Drosophila melanogaster: one gene and its partner. The protein of the gene in region 1 interacts with the protein of each later gene in a pairwise test. Each region holds a gene or a part of one and is shown in the gene's direction. Other genes may lie near its edges.

Region 1 (11,311 bases):
GGACAGGTTGTCATCCTCGTCCATGGTGATGGGCGTTTATTTGGTGACGTCGCCGGTCCGCTGCTCCGTTCCTAGCACGCTGAAATTCTGAAATTCTTCCAAACTTGGCCGCTGTGCTGCTGCTGCTGCTCTTTTTCTTCTTTCGGTTCGGCCTTTTCAAACAAGTTTTCTTTTCGTCTTTTTTCGGCTTCGGCTGCTGCTTCTTCTACGTTACTGCGTGATTTTTTCTTATGATTTTATTTTTTTGTTGTTTGGGTAGTGGCCGAATTTTACCTTTATGTTTTTGTTTATGGCGATGTTGCGTTCAATTGAAAATTTTGATCGAAACTCTTGTGGTGTCCGGGGATAACAAATTAAAGAGGGGAAAAGGTTGGCAAATTGGCTGAACGCTGAACGGAGAGCTGGAAACGAAAAATTTCACAACACCAAACACTTGACACTTAGCTCCGTCGGTTCCTGGGTTTGATTTTTGATGTTTAACTCTCGGCGACGTCGCCCAACCAACCGACCGACCGACCGACCTATTGTGTGCTGTGGCTTTCGGGGAGCTATTGGCTGTATCATCTATATCCCCATTATCCGTTTCCGGATCGAGGAGTACTCTGGCTGATGGCCTTTTCTCGATATCGTATCGCACCGTACCGTTCCGTTCTGTGGCCGTACCGTGCCGTTTTTCCCCGATATTTTGCTCACTTTTCACGCTGTTTCATCCGCGAGTCTTGCAGATATACGAATATGTGCGCACACATACTCGTCGCGGACACACACACAAACACGTACGGAGACGACACCACACAAACAGGCACGCACACGAACAAACATACACTGGCAAGTGTGGCCAAATATATTAGTCGTGCATTGAACTTGCCAATTACGCCGATTTTAGCTTGTTAGTCGCAGATAAATGAACCGCTGGGCCAGCTAGTTTGTTTCTTTGGTGCATGGGTGGCCCTTTAGCTGCTGCCTCTGCGTTCGCGAATGCCTTTAATCCTGCCAACTTCGATTTGCTCCACGAATCCACACACGGTCTTCGTTGGCGTGTATATCAGGATATCGATAGGTCTTGAATTTCATCCAGTGTGACCGCTCTACACCTGCACATACCATTGGTGGTCCCAACCATCACCTATCGATAGCACCACCTAACGACGCGTTGCCACTGGCCACAATGAAACACATGAGCCCAAAAAACATGCCCTTGCCACTGCATTTATGCATGTATTTAATAGTATAAGAATATAAAGCAGCGTCAAAAGCGGGTGGCACGATCCATTTCTACAGACGACGACCTCGGCGACCGCCCTTCCTGCGGGTAGAGTCCGATGGGATAGGGGTCACATCCTCGATGCGGCCAATCTTCATGGACGAACGGGCCAACGCACGCAGAGCGGACTGGGCGCCGGGTCCGGGGGTCTTGGTCTTGTTGCCGCCGGTGGCACGCAGCTTAATATGCAGGGCAGTGATGCCCAGTGTCTTGCACTTCTCAGCCACATCCTGGAGGGAATTGAAACCGTTAGACGGGCTCCAACTGGACCGGAGAGCGCACAACTCACCTGAGCGGCCAACATAGCGGCGTAGGGCGAAGCCTCATCACGATCGGCCTTCACCTTCATGCCTCCGGTGACACGAGCGATGGTCTCACGGCCGGACAGATCCGTGACATGGACGAAGGTGTCGTTGAAGCTGGCGTAGATGTGAGCCACTCCGAACACGATCTCGCCGTCGCGAACTTGGGGTCCCAGCTGGACCTGAACCTCCTCCTTCTGAACTTTAGCCTTTCTTGGAGCCATTCTGCAGAGTCTGGTCGTCGATCAGCAACTAAAAGAGAAAAAAACACCATGTTTATTTGCCGGCTCAAATCACTACAAAAAAAAAAACAACACAAAAAAAAATGGGGGAGAAACAAATTAATTCGCCACCACTTTCACGGCGTCCGCAAAATTTTTCATTTTATGCTAAATCACTGAATCATATTTAGCAGCAACTTTTCGCTTTTGCCGCCAAATAAGTCAATTGCAGTAAAATTGAACAAAAAAAGGGAGAAATAGCAGAAAACCAACCAATTGCGTGCGCCGGATGCGAAAAAAAGAAGGCAAAAACAACACAGCTGGTAATGCGATAGTTATCGACGCATAGTTACTTTGATGGCGCAATCGGGCTACCACCGCGTTGGGCACGCCAGGGTGGCAACTCTTCGGCTTGTAATGTGCAATTTTTGTAAACATTTCGCCAATGTCCTTATAAATCAAATATTGCAGCACTTGCAGACCCCAAACCGAACCCAATGCACACACAAAAATGTCTTGTAGTCATTTACATCGTATTTTCCTGGTTTATTACAGTGCACCTATGCACACGAACAGAAAAGCTTTCTTATCGCATACACAAATGCAGTATTGTATTTCGACCGCAAACATAGACTACTGCTTTCCAGATACTGCCATCTACAGACGACGACCACGGCGACCGCCCTTCCTGCGGGTGGAGTCCGATGGGATGGGCGTCACATCCTCGATGCGGCCAATCTTCATGGACGAACGGGCCAAAGCACGCAGAGCGGACTGGGCGCCGGGTCCGGGGGTCTTGGTCTTGTTGCCGCCGGTGGCACGCAGCTTAATATGCAGGGCAGTAATGCCCAGTGTCTTGCACTTCTCAGCCACATCCTGGAGGGAATTGAAACCGTTAGACGGGCTCCAACTGGACCGGAGAGCGCACAACTCACCTGAGCGGCCAACATAGCGGCGTAGGGCGAAGCCTCATCACGATCGGCCTTCACCTTCATGCCTCCGGTGACACGAGCGATGGTCTCACGGCCGGACAGATCAGTGACATGGACGAAGGTGTCGTTGAAGCTGGCGTAGATGTGAGCCACTCCGAACACGATCTCGCCGTCGCGAACTTGGGGTCCCAGCTGGACCTGAACCTCCTCCTTCTGAACTTTAGCCTTCCTGGGTGCCATTCTGGGTTTGTTTGTCGATCAGCAACTGCGGGAATAGCAAGGGAATTTCCACATTTATACCACGTGTTTCACAAATAAAAACAAATGCGTGCGAACAAACAAAACAAAAAATGTAAAAAAAAATTAGCTGCCGGGCAGCTTGTTTGTCATTTTCAGTCGACGCTCTGAACACTCTGGAGGAAGGCACATTTTTTAAGTTTAGGGGCTCAAAGTCGGGTTTTTTTTCGCAAAAATTAAGAGGGAAAAATTAAAGACGAACCACTTGCGTTAACCGGATATCAAAAAAGAAGGTTGACGTAGCTGTCAAAATGACAGGGTTGCTGAGTTTTGCGATGTTTGGCGATAGCTTATCGATAGGGAGTGTGTCGGGGCTTCAAACCCCAGGTGGATTTAAAAATGCATTCTTTTTTGTGCGTCTTTTAATTGGTTTAGCACTTTTATGAAACATTTATTAGTTTCAGATAGACTTATATTATAATTAAAAGCCACGCCAGAGGAAAGACTTCCAAAAAAAACCGAATAACTGCAGTTTCTGCGCTTATTTTCGTAGACGGTTGATGTCTGGGCTACTCTTCTATCGATGTTGGTTCGTGTATCTGCTTAATGGTATTACATTTATATCTCACAACGGCCACATTTTCATCGTGTCGGTTGGAGTCTATGCTAAATACCGAAATATCGCATATGGTCACACTGCGTTCTATATAAAAGGTTCTAAGTATCGATAGCGTAATAGTCGATTGGCAGCGGTCTAATCACAAGACACCGCAAAAAAATAAATAAATATTTATTTATTTAATTGACTGACATCCAATCTTAATCCAGCTGAATTCAAAGACCATGTCGTGGGTCTCCGACTACAAGTACACATGGACGGAGCGGATAGCGATGCGAACGCTGCGCGCCTGTGGCTACATTCCGCACCACGTCGCCTTCGTGATGGACGGTAATCGGAGGTTCGCCCGCTCACAGCAGATTGATAAGATCGAGGGTCATTCGCGGGGATTCGAGAAGCTTGCGGACTGCCTGCGCTGGTGCCTGGACGTTGGCGTCCGCGAGGTGACCACCTTTGCCTTCAGCATCGAGAACTTCAAGCGTTCCAACGAGGAGGTGGAGGGTCTGTTCAATTTGGCCAGAGAGAAGTTTGCCCGCCTGCTGGAGGAGACTGCTCGACTGGACGAACATGGCATCCGCATTCGGGTGATTGGTAACATCGAGCTACTGCCACACGACTTGCAGAAACTAGTGGCTTCGGCTATGCTTAGCACGGAGCGCAATGACAAGCTCTTCCTGAACGTCGCCTTTGCGTACACGTCGCGGGATGAGATTACGCAGGCGGTGGAAACGATACTGCGGCATGGCAGCCAGGATTTGGCGGGCGAGGACATCAGTGAGCGGTTGCTGGAAGAATGCCTCTACACGCGACACTCGCCGCCACCGGATCTGGTGTTCCGCACCTCCGGCGAGACTAGGCTAAGCGACTTCATGATGTGGCAGGTGTGTAGAAGGATCTCTTCCAGGAACAGTTGTTTTTAGTCACCCCCTTTGGCAGATTTCCCACTTATTTAGTTTGATTAGTGATTAAGTAGTTACCTGTGCCCAATGTTCATTCGTTGAATTTCGCTCTGCGATTGCATCATTTTTATAAAATGCATTTAAAAATTGAGATCTTGACAGTTTTGCGGTCTTTGATAAAGTGGAAAAGCTTAAATATTAAACGACTGTTTTTACCATTTCAGTTAAGCACATCCGTGTTGTACTTCAGCAACGTCCTGTGGCCGCAGATCACTTTCTGGCATTTCCTGGCCAGCATTCTGGCCTACCAGCGTGATCGCTGGCAGCTGGACGACTTTCGGCGAGCGGAGAGGATGCAGAGCTGCCAGCTGGCCAAGGCGACTGACTTCTACAGCGAACGCGTCCAGAATTTCCTGACCACCATCGATGAGGATCGGCGGAAGCTGCTTGTGCGACTGGCCGCCAACTAAGTCCCTTCTGAAGTCCCGCCTGAAGTCCCTTCGATTTCCACATGATGATGATGTTTGTGATATCAGTGGGGAATAAAATCGTGTAAATAGCGTATACCTGTACGTACAGATGCTACTGTTTTCCGGCCTATGCAATAAGGCTATCCGCCTTTCAATATATGTGCCGTTGGAGATTTCATCACCTAAATGCACTTGTTTAAGACATTCAATTAATTTGTAGCCGAATTGTGGGCTTAGCTAGATTGTTTTCACTTTCGGTCGTAAAAAGTGTTTGCCTTCCATTTGATAAGTAAATTAAAGAATTAAAAAAAAAGCAACAATTTGTTTAAATGTGGAGGGGGGAAAGGAATAATTCCAAATTTATGTAAATTGCAATATAACACCCACTTATATTTGTATATTTTATATATATGTACATATGTGTAGCCTTTTAAGAATTGGTATCACAAAACTTTTTTTACGTGCTTAATTTATTTTTATCTAGATATCATTCTTGTATTTTTTATATATCAATTTATTTTGGTAACTCGCTAAATGTTTTTTAATTTTAGTATTTGTTGGTTTTAAATTTTAGCGGTAAATTAAGTGCAATAATGGTTAAACAATATTTATCGATAGTTTTGCAGGTAACTATCGATGCCAAAATACATCGAACGTATCCCATCACCATTGACTTTTGTTCCAGCTTTACAGTTCACATGCAACTTTCTGCTGAGCGCGTTTTTTTTTGTTATAAAAATCTAAAATACAAGAATTAGATTTAGCGAACTGGCTCCTAGTGTTTAACCAAGTACACCTTTAGTTAGCATTACGGTTACTTTCCCGTGGCGAAGGAATAATTGCAAAACCATTAGCTCTCGACAAAAGTTGTGCGAAGCAAAAAGAGAAGTTCGCGAGAAGAAGACGCCTGTGAGCGTGACGAAGAGAGCCGAGCGAGAGAGTGAAGAATATCGAATCGAACGGAACAGGGCCTCGAAAGAGAACGTGAAGGAAACGGATCGAAAAATCGCAGACTTTGACAACCGAAGAAAAACCCACATTCAAGACACAAAATTCCGGTTGCCTGAGGGGCAAATGTCAAATTGCGGCGCATAAATTACATTAATTTAAAGCTCCCCGCACAAGGCTCATCCAAATTTTCACACATAGGCAGCAGTTGTCGCAACAGAAAAAAGGTGAGTGCGTGTGTGTGTGTGGCGTGAAAAAGCGGTGCACTTTTTAAAAGTGTTTTTCTAACTAAATGAGAGCGTGCTCGCGCTTCTTTACCTATGCGGCGCACTCTACTTGTGTGTGTGTGGCGTGAAAACGCGGTGCACTTTTTAAAAGTGTTTTTCTAACTAAATGAGAGCATGCTCGCTCTTCTTTCCCTTTGCGGCGCACTCTACTTGTCTCTCTCGCGCCTGGTTTAGCTCTCCCGCTATTATTTTACCTCTTTGCGTCTCGTGTGCATTTGGCGATGCTGTATTGATTTTTTTCGGTGGTGGCTAGTGGGTGGGTTAAAGAACTGCCCCGCTCTTCACCATTCGAAACTAAGTCCCCCACTTCGTCCGACCCCCTCCCTCATGCCATAAAGCCCCTGCCCAAAAAGTCAAACGCGTTTCGTTTCTCTTTTTATTTTTACTCTGAGAGAGAGAGAGAGGCTCTTGACAGTTACAAAAGTGCAAAGTCTTTGTGGTGGTGTGTGCGAGGTATCTCCATGCGATTTCGCTGAACTTTTGTTCATTTCTCGACAGGATTCAGCACACGATGTTCGCTGGAGCATATGCACCCAACGCTGGGGGCGTTCAGCAGCACACTGGCGGCGGTTACTATGGCAATGGTGCCGCAGCAGGCGCTGGCGGTAGCGGCAACGGGGCCCCACGCCACGAGCGTCAATACTATCCGCGCGGCAATTTCGGCGGTGCCGCCGGGGGAGCTGGCATCAATGGAGCAGCCACTGCGGCTGGAAGCATGCACTTTGGTCAGCCCTATGGCGTGATGACCTATGGCATCCAGAATGGTCTGGGAATGGGAGCCGCCGGTTCTGGTGGCGGCAATCCGTATCGCCAGCAAAACGGTGTTGCATTCGCCGGTAATGGACTTGGAGGAGGCGCCGGTGGCGGATCCGGAGGATCTGGCGGATATGGAGGACAGCGTGGCAAAAATCCAACCTACGCACAGCGTTATCAGAAGCCGAACAACGGCGCCGGAGTTGCTGGTGGCTACCAAAGCAATAACTACAATGCTGCCGCCTTAGGCATGCTTTCCAAAGAGGAGCGCGCCGAGATCCAACGTGAAAAGGCCAAAAATCCCGGCCGAAATTTAGTGAAACCCAAGTGGGAGAACCTCGAGCCCTTCCTCAAAGATTTCTACAACATTCATCCGAATACACTGGCCAAATCAGAGCAGCAGGTGGCCGAGATCCGGCGCGAACTGGAAATCACCGTGTCTGGCAATGAACTACCACACCCGGTGGTCAGTTTCGAGGAGAGCTCGCTGCCCGCTCACGTCATTGAAGAGATGAAGCGCCAGGGATTCACCAAGCCCACTGCTATCCAATCGCAGGGTTGGCCCATTGCCTTAAGTGGCCGCGATTTGGTGGGCATTGCCCAGACCGGTTCAGGCAAGACGCTGGCATACATGCTGCCTGCCATCGTGCACATTGGCAATCAGCCGCCAATAATTCGCGGCGAAGGACCCATTGCTCTAGTGTTGGCCCCCACCCGGGAGCTGGCCCAGCAGATCCAATCTGTCGTGCGAGACTATGGACATCTGTGCAAGCCAGAGATTCGTCACACTTGCATCTTTGGCGGCTCATCGAAGGTGCCGCAGGCACGCGATCTTGACCGCGGCGTCGAGGTGATCATCGCCACACCAGGACGTCTGATTGATTTCCTTGAGAATCGCAACACTAACTTGCAGAGATGCACTTATCTGGTGCTGGACGAAGCCGACCGCATGCTGGACATGGGTTTCGAGCCGCAGATCCGTAAGATCATTGAACAGATTCGTCCCGACCGTCAGGTGGTCATGTGGTCCGCAACCTGGCCAAAGGAGGTGCAGGCCCTAGCCGGAGACTTTTTAAACGATTATATCCAAATCAACATTGGTTCGATGAACCTATCGGCTAACCACAACATTCGCCAGATTGTCGAGATCTGTACAGAAATAGAGAAGCCGCAGCGCTTAGTATGCTTGCTCAATGAGATTTCTCCCATCAAGAATTCGGGAAACAATGGGAACAAAATTATCGTCTTTGTGGAGACCAAGATCAAGGTGAGTTCTAATTCGATAAATGGCTTAAAGAATTCGAAATATTCTTTCGATTTACCATTTTAAATTGTATTTGTTCTCTTTTCGTTTTACTTCGAAGGTTTATCAACATATTCTTTGTTTTTTATAGTTGCATTTTACTTGCAAAAATCCGAAATGACCCGTCAAGAATATATTGTTTATGTGATATTAATTAGAAGCACCCCACTAATTATCAACCGTTTTCTTGCCCTTATCCAGGTGGAGGACATCTTGCAGATCATTCGAGCCGAGGGTTACAACGCCACCTCAATTCACGGCGACAAGACCCAGAATGAGCGTGATTCAGTGCTAAAGGATTTCCGTAACGGCAAGTCCAACATTCTGATTGCCACCGATGTGGCTTCGCGCGGCCTCGATGTCGAGGATCTGCAGTACGTAATTAACTATGATTACCCGAACTCCTCGGAGAACTACGTGCACCGTATCGGGCGCACTGGTCGCTGCCAGCAGCTGGGAACTGCCTACACATTTTTCACGCCTGACAATGCCAAGCAGGCCCGTGAACTGATCTCTGTGCTCGAGGAGGCTGGCCAGACGCCGTCGCAGGCTCTTTTGGATCTTGCTCGTTCGATGCCCAGCTCGGGCGGCTATCGCGGCAACAAGCGCTGGAACAACAACAGCGGCGGGGATCGCAACACTGGCGGTAACAACGGCATCTATCAGCAGCGCAACAACAATCCGCTGAATTACCAGGCCGGTAACAACTATAACAACAATCGCAGCGGCCCCCCAACTGGCAGTAGCTACCAGCAGTATGCCGCTGGCGGCAATACCTATCTGCAGAATGGTGCTGGTGGTGGCGTTAATTGGAATCGCATGAACCAGATGGGACAGGATGGAGGAGCCGGACAACAGCAGCGAAACGGCAACACCTATCGCCCGAGGGCTCCGTTCAACAATGGCGGACCACGCGCCATTATGGGCCATCAGGGTGGCGGCGTCGGAGCTGGTGGAGCAGCCGGCGTAGGCGGTGGCCCACAGCAGCTCATGGCACCCCAGCAGGGCGGACAGTATATGCCACAAGCATACCGCGGACGTAGCCAGTTTGTGCCGCAGGGAGCTGGTGCCGGTGGCATGCCGCCACGATTCCAGCAGTATCCCAAGCGGGAGTACCAGCAACAAGGAGTAACCCACTACGGTCAGCAGGCTTTGCAGCATCAGCAACAACAGCAGCAGGCTGGCCAACAGACCAAGCCGCCCAAGGACGAAAGCAACAAGTATGTTCCGTCGGCTGCGGTGACCAGCTCGCTGGTCCAATACACGCCAGCCAATTCGCCAACGATTGCGGCCGTAGCTGCTGCCGCTGCAGCAGCCGCCGGACGAGCTGCAGCTGCAGCTGTGGCTCCGGCTCCCGGTGCCGCCTATATGTACGATGCGGCCGGTGTTCTCACTACCGCCGCTGCGCCGGGCACCAATCCATATGCCAACCAGTTCAGCATGCCGGCCACCTACTATGCCGCCCAACATCACCAGTTCGCCCAAGCCGTGGCAGGACCCGGACCAGCACCCGGCCAGGCCATCGAGTAGGCGGGACAACAATACGCTAACGCGCTCATGGGACGAAATGGAAGTGGATCGTGGAAAGCTACAACAACAAAAACAACAAGAACAGCAGCAGCAGCTTTAATAAAATCAACCACATTGCAAGCAACAACAACTCAAACAACTATAACAACACCAACGACATGGACAAATGAATCAACAGTTATCCACATAACACATATAAAATCCAAATGCATATGATGATAAATGAACGAATGGATATAATTTTGCCAACATAACAGAGCATAGCAGCTCTTTAACTTTTGACCAAAATCGTTGCCTTTTTGTTTCTATATTTATTCACACCTCACTACTAATATTAGTAGAACATTTGTGTTCTCTTTCGCTTATTTAAGCATTCGCAATTTTTTGTTTGCGATATTGACAACTAACCTTAAATTCGTTAATGTTCTCTGGACAAACTGCCGTTAACCATCAATAACAAGGGGTAAGTTTGTGTTAATTTACATACAAAGTAACTAGTAGTTAATGGATCTTTTCGCCCTACAACAGCCAACGCACGAACATCGCCTTCGAAACCCTTTTATGTTTTCCAAACACAAGGTAAACCGAATCAAAACTCAAGAAAATCCAAAAAGGGAACGATTTTTGTAGTTTTTAAGCTCTTTCACACACAAATCACACACACACACACCCCGACAGTTGCATGTTCTTCGAATGTTTAAAAAGAATTGGGTAGATTATGTTACCAATGTTATGTTATATTTTTTCTTAGTATAGCCATTTGGTATATGTTATACTAAGAAAAAAAAAATGATCCAGGGACAGACACTGTTAATTAATTGATTTTCGAAAATTCATGTGTATCAATCTTTACACAAAGCTAAGAACACAAGCACGCAACCAAAAAACACGAAAATATTGTATTCGAAAATTGTCAAAAACAATGAAAGGCATTGAAAGAAAAACCCTTTTCGCTAACTTGGTTGGTATGAAAGGACGGTTTGCTTATAATAACACATATTTAAATACATTTTTAATTATTTAAATATATATATATATATATATTTAGATATATATATTTATATATATTTTTTTTTCCGAGAAAATTTTGCAGCAAACAATTACAACAAAGGGAAAACTAACAAAATTCTACACAAATTCCTTTTAAGAAAACGCAGCTAACGGTTGAGATATTTGTATAATGTACAACACACATGTTTTGGCCGAATCCAAAATAAGAGAAAAGGGAAATGGGCAGCGCTGCTTTGGTAGGAAGTATGTTAAATTAAAACTAACAAAACTAAAACAAGTTACAATCGGTAATAATAAAACGATTATAAAGCAATGGGAGAACACGTACACAGCCACATAGAACCCCCACAAGCACACGCACGCACACACACATTGACACTCAACACACACACACAACGAACATCACAATGACAAGCAAATTTACAGTTATCATTTAATTTCCCATTTTGATACATATACGTGTGTATTCTATATATGCTATATATATATTTACATCTATATGTAGATTCGAGCTTGATTTTCAATGGAGATTAAA
Region 2 (11,311 bases), on another chromosome or scaffold:
GAGCAAGAGAAGAGCAGAACACAGAACACATACAGATCGTGCAGGACCAACGCATTTGGAAATGTCTAACATCAAGAATATTTAAATATTTATGAAACCATATATCTTAATTTTCAGGCTGAAACCTTTGGGGGAAAGCAATTATATTGATTCTGGCCGAGTAAACTTTAAAAACGATAACAAGACACAACTTTTGTGCTTAAACAGGTAACTAAGATAGGAATTAAAATTTGTAGAATCAAAATGTGTATTCTTGATTTTAGATTAGCTTCTGTTTTCTTGTATGCAACTTACTTATTGAAGGCCGAGGTGTCGCTTACGTTACGCCTATGACCACCTCCTCCGCTTGGCTTGGGCGGTGTCAACATGCTCTTGGTGGGCGTGCCTGCAATGACGTTTAAGTCCTGAGGCACTTCCTCCTTGTTAGGTTCTTCTGCTGCTGGTAGAAATTCAGTAGGAATTACTGCTGCAGCTGGCTCATTGAATGGATCTGGATAGCCACTTGACTCGAAGAGTTTACTGGCAGCAGGAGCTGCCGGAGTAACAGCTTGAGGAGGTGGAGGAACAGCAGGTGGCATAGCTGGGAAGTTGGCCTGGAACTGCTCGACCACAGGTTGAGGTTGGGGTTGTGGAGAAGTGATATTCTGTCTTGGCGAGGGACTGGGAGGCAAACCGAGACCCAATGGATTTCCTCCATGTACCGATGAGGAACCCTTAGGACGAGACCGAGGAGCTACACTGGTTCCCGCCTCCACAACTGACACATTCTGAGCCTTCGCCGCCTTGGAGGCCGCTGCACTGATCCTCTTGGCTTCCGATTCAAACGGAGGCACTACCAGTAGGTCGAAGTTTGGAATGGGAGTTTTCTGATTAAAAATAAGCAAACAGATTATCATACAGGAATCTGAACACAAACATTATGCATCACTCACATGGAGATTCTGAACGGGATTATCCTTGCCCGCCAGTCGAAAGGCCACCTCGCAAACTTGCCAAATGTTTGGTCGCTTCTCCATATCGGGTTCCAACATATATTTAATCAGTTGGTGCATGCCCTTCGAGTACTTTGAGGAGTCTGGAATGGAAAACTGTCCATTCTGGATAGCCAAAGTGCTCTCCCCAAATGGCAAGGAAAAGAAGCACAGCTTATAGAGCATGCAACCCAGTGCCCAGATGTCCGCCTTTGTGGTTATGCTCTTGCCCCCGTACAGGTCGATCATCTCGGGAGCCCGATAAGATAGAGTGGTGTACTTTTGGATCTCTTCCTGCACCACGGTGACTCCGTGCTGTTGAGGATTTAACGTCTTGGCCGTTGCCGATCCGAAGTCGCAGAGTACGAAGTTGCCCGCGTCCGTTTGCAGAATGTTCTCCACCTTAAGATCCCGATGGATAATCGGAGTCTGACAATAGTGCAATCGAGAGACAGCCTCGGCAATATCACAGAAGATGTTGAGCACCTCTGGCTCCGTGAAGCCAACGTGCAATCTGTGGCGAATTTCATTGGATTACATTCGAATTCCGCAATCAAATGGACTACATTTTTAGATTCACTTCGTTTACCTCGCATTCATCATGGCCAGCATGTGATGCTTGCAATAGGGCATCAGGAGTAGCACCTCGCACACCCCGTTTCCCGTGGGCGTGATGCTGGAGTCCACATAACCAATGATGTTTTTGTGCCCACTCAGGTTGCTCTGGGGGAGTGAAAGTGATTGCCCTATTAGATTAGGTTTGTTTGTCCCGATTTATTTACTCACCGCAATCTGTATCTCCCGCTTGGCTACGTTCAGATCGTGCTCATTGTTGACGTACATGCGCTTCAGGGCGTACTTGGTCGCCGAGGAACTGCCTCCGCCGTTGCCCCTTGCCAAAAAGACCATGGCGAAACCACCTGCGTGAGTTTTGAAGAGATGGGGAAGAGAAAAACAGAGCATTAGAGCATGGGGTAAGTTGACGGGCTAGACATCCATAACAGCTGTCAGCTGTAAACAACATAGCATATTTGAATGGGGGAGGAAACTGCGAGTAAGCTAAACCCGATGAATACCCTGTTATTGTATATTCATAATACATATATACGAATATTTTATTTTATATGGCAGGAAGTAGCTAATTAATAAACTAATTTGTTTATTAAAAGGAAATATGTGTCACATTTTTATAGCACACGTATCTTTGGCCATTCCTTCCCACATAATTTATGCCATATATCTACGTGATAATAATGGAATTTCTTTACTATAAACATTTCACGTTCACAAATATCCCCCCGTGGTGTTAAAATAGTAGAGGGTACCCGAATTCGAGTGATAGCAGTTACTGTCTGGCCATGGAACGATTTACACATGTTTTGCCTAACAGGCCATTTGCATGAGGTTTATTTCAGTTTATTGCAAATAGAATTTCAAGTAGAATGCCCCCACATTTCAGCCCTCTCCACCTGTCGCTTTACGCCACTTCAAAATGTACGATAAAAAGGCAACGCAATATAAACTAAACTATTGAAGGTCACGTACAGAAATAACAACAATAACATGCGACAATAACAATACTCAGCGGGGGAAGGCGGTGGGGCGGCAAAATAAAAAGATAGGAACAGTGGTCACTAAGAAAAAAACATAAAAATATATATTAGATATAAAATGAAATGATATTAGAAAAAAAAATGATCTCAATACATTAGATGCATAGACGATGCAACGATTAGGAGAATGTTTTAATATTGAAAATATTTATGGAACATTTGCTGTAAATGCACACACCATTTCTCCCTGTGTAGGCGATAGAGAGAAGTGAATAGCGGACCAGCAAATGTAACCATTTTTGCTCGACTTTGTGAAATTATGGCGTCAAATGTTAATCAATGCTGAAGGTTGCAACAGCAACAAATCAACATTGGCAAAAAGTACAGCAACAACATCCAGTAATAATAGTATGAAAAGCAACAATAACAATGCACAATTGTAGCGATGCGAGAAAACGCGAGAAGGCAATTCGAAACGCAAACGAGGGTAGAAAATACGTCTGAAGGGGCGTCAACTGCAAGGTGGGCAGTAAGCGGTTAAGGGTGGGGGCTGAGGGGTTAAGGCGGGAAAGCTTCATTCGTTAACCGTTTGTCGCTTAGTCATTTGTAATTGTTGTTGGCTGCTCAAAAATCGAATCAAAGAAAGCAGGTAAATATTGAAGGTGATTAAGCACAGTGTTACTTTGGAAGTATCCAGCATATCGAGCAGTTTAAACTTGGCTATACGCGCATTTTATTCATTGAGCATCTGCAAAAGACTCTATTTATTTTTTCTCTTTCTTAAATGAAATACCAATAGTTACGTTACTGGATTAAATGAATTAATAAATAATATATAATTTAGTTTATAATTTGTTATACTAATTCAATAACTTTAACCAAATAACCGTGTTCGTCAAACGCTCCGCCTTTTTAATTACAGGGTATGCCCGACAACAGCTGACTAATTGCCAGCGGCGCCAGCGCAGCGCAAAACAAAATTACGAATCGAGTCCGCTTGCCAAAAGTATAAAAAGTAAAAAACACTACGTAATGGCTAAAGGAAAGGTGGCGAATGGCTGGCCAGGCGGTGGGTGAGCAATCGTTAGATGATCAAATGTTGGGCGGAGGGTACTGGTGCCAGGCCAACAAGGAGGCACTTGCACTGCAGGATGATGTGGAGTGGAGCACTCCGCATTTCAAGGACAAGGACACAGCACAGGCGATTTCCTTAGGGGCGAACTTTGCCATTTAGCTCGGCGAAAGGTGAAAAACGGAAGACTGTCGGAGACAGTCGGCTGATGAGTGTTGGTCTTGCCGCTTCATTGGCTAAATTAACATAATTGATTCAATTGATTTGTGGCCATGTGTAGTGGCTACGGGAATTCAATGGGTATTCCATGGAAAAACCAACCAGAACCGTAACTGTGTTTGTACAGTCGGGTTTCTCTAACGCGGACACCCATTTGTCACAATAGAAATGCTGGCATTTCTGGTTTTGGCAAAAATAAACTCTTTAAAGACTGACATAAATTTGGACGAAATATCTGCACGCCATTAGAGAGCCGAGTTATGGACATAAATATGTAGTTCTATGCCAAGGGCAAAATTGCAGTTCAATTAGTTGGAATTTAGGTTACAAACCAGTATTTAGTATTCATAATTAATGAAATAATTTAAAATGTTTTACAGTTTTATTAAAAGATAATATATCAAAGTCAGATTTTAGCTGTTTTGAGTTTAACATCTTATACAGAAATTATTGGGAGTAATTTATTTGGATTTAATCGGAAATGCGACAAGTGGTGTCCCCAATTATGGAGGATACGCAGCTGATTTTTATGCTCTCTAGCGCTTTGAGTACGCCCCACATTTGGGAGTTCTCGCGCTGAAGGGGTTTATCTAATCTGTGACGAGGGGCGAGACCGAAAAGCGGACGGCAGGCTACTGCCCACCTGTAAATCAGGCAGGTGATAAGCATAATCGCGGGCGACGTGTTGTAGGTAGGGGAATGGGAGCACATATATAAGAGTGTATATATAGTCGTCTACCTTCTGCCAGGACATCCTCCACGGTGACCGTGACGCGTCCCACTGTGAAGACCTTGCCCACGAAGCTGTTCTTCTCGTTCGAGGACGACGAGCTGCTGCTGTTGGGCGGATTCTCCAGTCGAGAGTTCTCATTGCGCTCGAACTTAGACAGGATTTTCTTCATTTTCCCCCGATTTTCACTAGAAAATGTTTACTGCCCCAGCAGCACAACACACACACACACACTCGCGAGCACACACGCACACTAGCTAACACGGTCTTAATTGCCTGCGCGTAGGTGTTTTTGGCAATTTTTAATTTTGCGAGGGCGGCTGACGGTGGGCGGGGCGTCGGTGCCGCTGGCCAATTAATCCACTTTCGAGTCGTATCGGCTAGCTGAATAAAGCTATTCTGCGCACTTTGTGTTTTTGCATGCACACACACAATGCAGTGGAAAAAGAAAGTTGTTCGATTTTCCTGCTGCTCTCGAGTTGTTGGGCCAGTGTGACCAGGGCGCTTTGCTGCAGTCAGATGCGCAACCCGCGGCTGGTGCAGCCGCCTATCGATATATAGATAAGTTGGTTGCAATCTCGAAATTCTGAAAACAAGGAAATCCCCGTTTACAAAATAGGTTTTATGATAACAATTTTTTGTAATTTGATCCAATTTAAAAAGATAATATGGTTCTACTTTCAATAAAACATATAGCTACAGTTGCATTAAACTATCGCGCAGTTTTAATTAGCTATGCTGCCAACATCGTGTTTCCCTTATCAATATGTTATCGATTGTGCTGGTGCAATTGTAAACAAGCATCTCTAGCAAATGGTCGCTAAATTCGCAAAATTGTAGTTTGCTGGGATAACAATGATAAATACGGCCAAGTACTTTGCTCTTCTAGAGAGTTTAAGGTTTAGTAAAGCTCTAGGTAAATTGGTTAACATCATATAATAATTGTAGTATCCCTAATACTAATATTTCGACAGCAAATACGGCGAATAACTCAGGGACTGCCGAAGCCTTGGAAATCAACCTGCGAATTTTGGAAAAATATGCTAAACTCGAGATTGGTCAGCAATTGCATGAGCTGTGCCTGGAATATCAGTTAACAGACGATCACGAATCTAGTATTGATCCCGATTCGGATCGTACTATATGCTATATAATAAGATTGCAACATGTGCTACATTCGATCATGAGGAACATTAATTTCCACAGCGACGCCAAGGAGGATCTTATTTCGGTAGCGCACCTGAAATTGTGTATCCAGGCTTCCCAAGAATTATCATATTACTCGCTTCGATGCCAGCTACATGAGGATTTCTACAAGTCGCCCATCTTTTGTGAGGCTCAGGGGAAAATCAAAGCTAACTTTTCATTGATGCTTCTAAGCATTCAGTTCTTTATTAATCTACTGCATATTCGACAATACCACATAGCCAACTCGATGGAGCTGGTGCAAAGGGATCTACTGGCGGCCATTGTGAGTCTACGTGTGCAGCAAGACTCTCCACTGCTGGATAAGGCTATAGCCTACCTCTGGCAATATGAATCCAAAGCAGATTTCTTTCGCAACATCTTGCTTTTTAAAGCTACGACTCTCTGCCCAACTCTGGCCCAATTATTGCACCGTCAACTCTTAGGAAAGCTTCACTTACCCCAAGGATTTGCTAGTCTTGTTGAGGCCCTGCATCAAAATCCCAATGTGAATTCTTCCAGAAATGCGGAAATTGTGGCTAGTATTGTGGCCAGAAAAGGATTTTCTCAGTTAGCGCAAGAGAAGATGGTTCTCCAGGTGCTAGAATATTGTAAGTTCTATCTGCAGAATGCGGACAAAATGTGCGCCGGTGTCCTATCGCTCAGAAGACTTTACGATTTAAGTGATACAAATCAAAAGCTGATAAAAGAAATATTATTCAAACACTGGGAAACGCTTTGTAACCCAGAAGACATTATTAATGGCCTTATCTTAATGGATCACCAGGAACTGTGCAATCGCATTCTCTTATGGCAGCATCTCTTTTGTTCTTCAACCGTAGCTTGCTTACCCAGTAATCTACTCGTTCCCTACCTTCCTTTGCTGCTCCAACTCTACGATGGCCTTCCAATGGAATTACCGGCGTCATCGCAGATTTCTGCCATTATTTTGCGTTGTCTGGACAACAGAGAAATGAAAAACGAATTACCTGCGATACTCCAGAAGCTGTTTAAATGGGAAATTGAGAAGGAACCTCCTTGGAAGTGTTTAAACCCACGCATTATAATCCTGCCTTCCATGAACACAACTCAAATTCAGGTTAAAGTAGCTCACAAAGATCATCTAGCAGATCACGATATGGGCAGAATATTGCCCGGTCTACTCACATCAAGCTCTCATCATTCCCTCACCTGCAAAGTTTTCCTCTCTCTTCTGGGCTTCATAGCTAAACAGATAAATGATAAATCTTCAGCCAGCGTAGATTTTATTTCATCAGAAGCAGAGCTCAAAGACTTTCTGCACTCCAAATATCAACTGAAGCTAGATTTGCTCATTGCTTTAAACCAAATGGTAGCCCACCAACCATTAAGAGCTCAGCTATCACAACATACCAAGGAGCTTCTACATATACTAAAAGACTTGCTTGTCCACCGATCTAGAGAGCAAGATACCACGGATCAGATCCTACTTCTCGTTCTAAACCTCTTGCAGGAAATTCTTGAGGGCAGTGAGAATATTCAACTTTCAGAGGCCTGTAAGGAACTGAAAGAACAATTGCACCTGTTGGGTACTCGATCTTCCAACCCTCTTATCCAGCAATCTGTAAAATCATTGCTTACAATAATTCACGGCGCATGGCGACCAAGTGAGGCTGTTAAAATACAACCTTTTCAAAGAGCTCGGTCCTTGATAGAGGAAAAACAATCCCACATGCAAGTGTATGGAATTCAGATGATGATTGATTTGCTGAAAAAAAGAGATCCTGCTACCTTAGCGCAGGGTCAACTTATCATAGCGTTAGCCCTGACCACTCTCAAGGATAAGGAATCCTACACCTTCTTAAATTGTGTTCGGCTCTTTGTGTCGCTTGTTCATGTGATGGAGTCCGATGTGCTGGACAAATTGAGTGATGAGTACCTATCAGAGACGGCTCACTTAGACTACCGCCTCGTAGTGGGTGAAGCTATTCTGAAAGTCGCTCAGGAGTTGGGTAAGCAATGTTCTACACAGCTAAGAATAACTCCTAAACTTTCATACTAATCCCATCCAGGTCCTCTTTGCTTTCGATACAAGGCTGTTCTTCTCAACTGCTTCATGTACGGCTCCCGGTCTCCTGTTCACGAATTCCGGATGTCAGCCTTTGCCAATCTTGCCCAGCTTTGTCGCCTTTTGGCCTTTCAAGTGCAGAACTTCTTCCACGAGTTACTCCAACTTGTTAATAGCGAATTAACCACCGGAGGATATGTTCCCTCTAAGCGTGCAGCAGTCCTGGTCTTAGCTGAACTATTAAACGGCATGGAGAACCTTCTGGATTACCAGGAAATGTTACTCCCCATTTATCGCCTTTTAAAAGCGATTGAAGCGGATGAATCCTGTGATCCTCAAATGCGTCAGCATGCTGCAAACGGTCTGAAAATTTTAAACAAAAAGTGCACAAAACTGATACAATCTGCCTTGGAGGAGAAATCATTACAGAAGCAGATTAAGGTGTTGGGCATTAAGGACGATGATTCACCTCAAAGAAGAAACCGACATATACTGGAACTGAATTAAAGGCTATCTTAGAAACCTACACAAGTTTTAATTTTGTTTTATACACAATAGATCAATATTACAGTTTCGAAAAGAAATGCGATAGTGGCGAATCAGTACAGACATTACTGACATAAAGGCAGAACAGAAAATAGGACTTAGTTTTGGACTTTGGTTACATTATTTGGGATAGAGGCATCACTTGCCGATAGAGAACTCATTCTCGATCTTGTCTGCGATCATCTTGGCAATGGCCAAGCTACTAGTAGCGCCCGGCGATGGGGCGTTTCTGCAGTGAAGCACTCGCTTGGCTAGCGCTCCCGATCCTTGTCCGCGATCGAAAACAAAATCGTCCACCAGATTGCCATCCAGATCCATTGCTTGGGCACGTACTCCAGCGGGACCACGCTGGATATCGTACTCCGTAATATCCGGGATGTACTTCTGCAACGCCTTGATCTGCAGGTTAATGAACCACGATTTGGACATCTCGCTGAGTCCGAAACCGATGTACTTGCTCGCCATCTTTACGAAGCCCGGATAGCGCAGGGCGTCGAAAAGCTCGAAAAGATTAATGTCACCCCAGCTGGAAGAAGTGAAGTGTCAGACAAGTTTAAATATGAGCTCTAAGAAGACTTACGTGTAACCTTCGCGTTTCAGAGCCAGAACGGCATTTGGTCCCAGCCAGATAGATCCGTCCATTCGCGGCGTAAAGTGAACTCCCAGGAAGGGGAAACGTGGATCCGGCACCGGATAAATATTACCCTTGACCATATGCTGTTTTTCCTTGGTCAGCAGCAGATACTCTCCACGGAAAGGCACGATGCGGGGGTCTCTGGGGCATCCAGTCTTCTCAGCCAGCAGGTCGGATTGCAAACCGCCACAGGTTAATACGTTCTTGGTACGAACCGTTTGACCGGGCTTAGCGCCATGGATGGTCACTGGGTAGTCGGTGCCCTCCTTGGTCTCGGTAAACTTGCTGACATTGAAGTCCAGGTAGATATCACCACCGCACTGTTTGAAATCCTGACCATAATGCTCGGTAACCAATCCCCAGTCAACGATACCAGTGTGCGGACTGTGGAGCGCCATCACTCCCTGGCAGTAGGGTTCGATCTCCTGAATCTCGCTGCCTTCGATCATTCGCAGATCCGGTACGTTGTTGGCAATGCCACGCTTCTCCAAATCCTTCAGCAGCTTCACTTCTTTCTCATCCGTGGCCACAATTAGCTTCCCGGTTTTCTTGTACGGGATCTTTTTTTCATCCAGATAAGCGTAGGCCAAATGCATGCCCTCCACGCAAAGGCGGGCTTTCAGGGTTCCAGGCTTATAGTAGATGCCAGCATGGATGACGCCGGAGTTGTGGCCGCTCTGGTGCTTTGCCAGCTTGCACTCCTTCTCCAGGACAGCCACTTTGAGGGATGGATGGCGCAGGACAATCTCCCGGGCAGATGCGGCGCCGACGATGCCACCACCAACGACAACCAGATCATAATCTCTGAGGGAATACAAAACATATCAGCTAACAGCCTCAAAAATTAAATAAACTTAAGACTTCTAAAGTTTTTAAAAGTTAGAAAGATGTTTGTATATCCGTTAGAGTAAAGAGTGTGCGGGCACGTTTTTGATTAGGATCATCAGTCAAGTCGATCTAGCCATATCAATATGTTCATCGACTGTCAGACCGCAAGAACGTCGAGATCTTGGGAACTAATAAGTAAGATAAAGGCTGCAGATTGCAGTGAAAAGACTATGCTATGCAATTAAGAATACAAAAGTAAATAGAATATACATTGCTTAACTAAACATGATTTTAAAAGCGCATTCTAAATGAAAAGAAGCTTACTTAGCTCATTTGGAACACCTAAATGATATTCTGCAAACAGTGAAAAGATTCTTAGGATCGGAACACCCCCGAAAATGAGAGAACCCTATCGTAATCTCAAGAGACTTACCCGCAGCTCGACGAGCTGTGCTGCGATCTTTTGTGGGTCGCTGTGGATTCGTTGGGCGCGGCCACGCCCACATTGAGTAGGCTACGCCGAAGTCCCTGTACCAGCAGTCGCACCTGAGCCATTTCTCTTTCTTTTATGCTTTCACCACCCGCGCACGCACGTAGAATTTAGATTATTTACCAACCCGAAAAGAAAGACCTTGCTTGACCTTGCCTTCTCCTCCGCCAACTTGTGCGTACAGCGCGCTTTCGAGCGAATCGACAGACTGAAGCCCGTGGAAGTTTTCCGTGGGGCGAGAGAAAATAAATATGCTCACGGGCCGAGCATCTGGGCGATTTGTGGGGCCGAGGGGCGATCATAAACGCGCTAATTGATAAGTGTGACGGATTATTTTTGAAAGGGGGTGGTTGGGTAAGGACGTGTGTGTCAGCTGTTCGGTTTGTTGATAAGATTTAATGTGCCCAGCTGCCATTTTGCAAATTTTCTGTAATCTAACAATATTAAAATTTTTATTTCATTTTAAATATTTCAGGTTATACGATCATGCTGATTACTCGACTAAAAAGTATTTACAAGAAACAAACATATAATTTTAACCCTAAATTTGCTTTTATTCGATACGGAATCCCATTATATTTGGTCGTATTTGATAGCAAACACAAATGAATAAAGTTTCGTTATTAATTCAGAACTGCAAGAAAAAAGACCGCTATCAACAATATGTGAGACGCATTTTCCAACACTGAACACTTCAGAAGCAAAACAAAACCAGCTGATTTAGCAAACAACAGCTAGCTCACAGATGTAAACAACAGAAATTTGCAAATTATTACAAATTATTGTACCATAAATACCTTAAGATGCCCGCCCACTGCGCCGTGATAAATTGCAGCCATAAGTATGTGCACGCGGGCAGCATTTCATTTCACAGGTAAGTGAGTTGATTTTCAATTGACAAGATTACACTATAGCTTCTATTCTCCCAAAGATTTCCATTCAAACGGAAGGATCTTCTACAGAAATGGAAGGAATTTACCCAGAGGAGTGCTCAGTGGATGCCCTCAAAATGGAGTGCGCTGTGCAGTCGGCACTT

The links.
Region 2: the proteins of mahe (region 1) and Tango6 interact in a two-hybrid assay, tested with the Drosophila melanogaster proteins (one large-scale study listed by BioGRID).

The regions. Positions count from the first base shown.
Region 1 is NC_004354.4:7,925,682-7,936,992, reverse strand, and holds the start of mahe (maheshvara), read left to right. Parts: upstream 1-5,610; 5' UTR 5,611-6,119; intron 6,120-6,677; 5' UTR 6,678-6,690; coding exon 6,691-8,199; intron 8,200-8,436; coding exon 8,437-9,765; 3' UTR 9,766-10,228; intron 10,229-10,293; 3' UTR 10,294-11,311. Other genes in the region: Ubr3 ubiquitin ligase, read right to left, coding at 1-24; RpS14b (ribosomal protein S14b), read right to left, coding at 1,276-1,494, 1,554-1,790; RpS14a (ribosomal protein S14a), read right to left, coding at 2,445-2,663, 2,723-2,959; Dhdds (dehydrodolichyl diphosphate synthase subunit), read left to right, coding at 3,800-4,456, 4,699-4,944.
Region 2 is NT_033779.5:18,963,699-18,975,009, forward strand, and holds Tango6 (transport and golgi organization 6), read left to right. Parts: upstream 1-5,329; 5' UTR 5,330-5,400; coding exon 5,401-5,461; intron 5,462-5,519; coding exon 5,520-7,721; intron 7,722-7,781; coding exon 7,782-8,284; 3' UTR 8,285-8,306; downstream 8,307-11,311. Other genes in the region: Nak (Numb-associated kinase), read right to left, coding at 295-866, 933-1,485, 1,561-1,694, 1,758-1,891, 4,555-4,717; L2HGDH (L-2-hydroxyglutarate dehydrogenase), read right to left, coding at 8,462-8,849, 8,904-9,761, 10,219-10,340; CG10431 (uncharacterized protein), read left to right, coding at 11,079-11,149, 11,207-11,311. UniProt on the Drosophila melanogaster protein: May be involved in protein secretion and Golgi organization.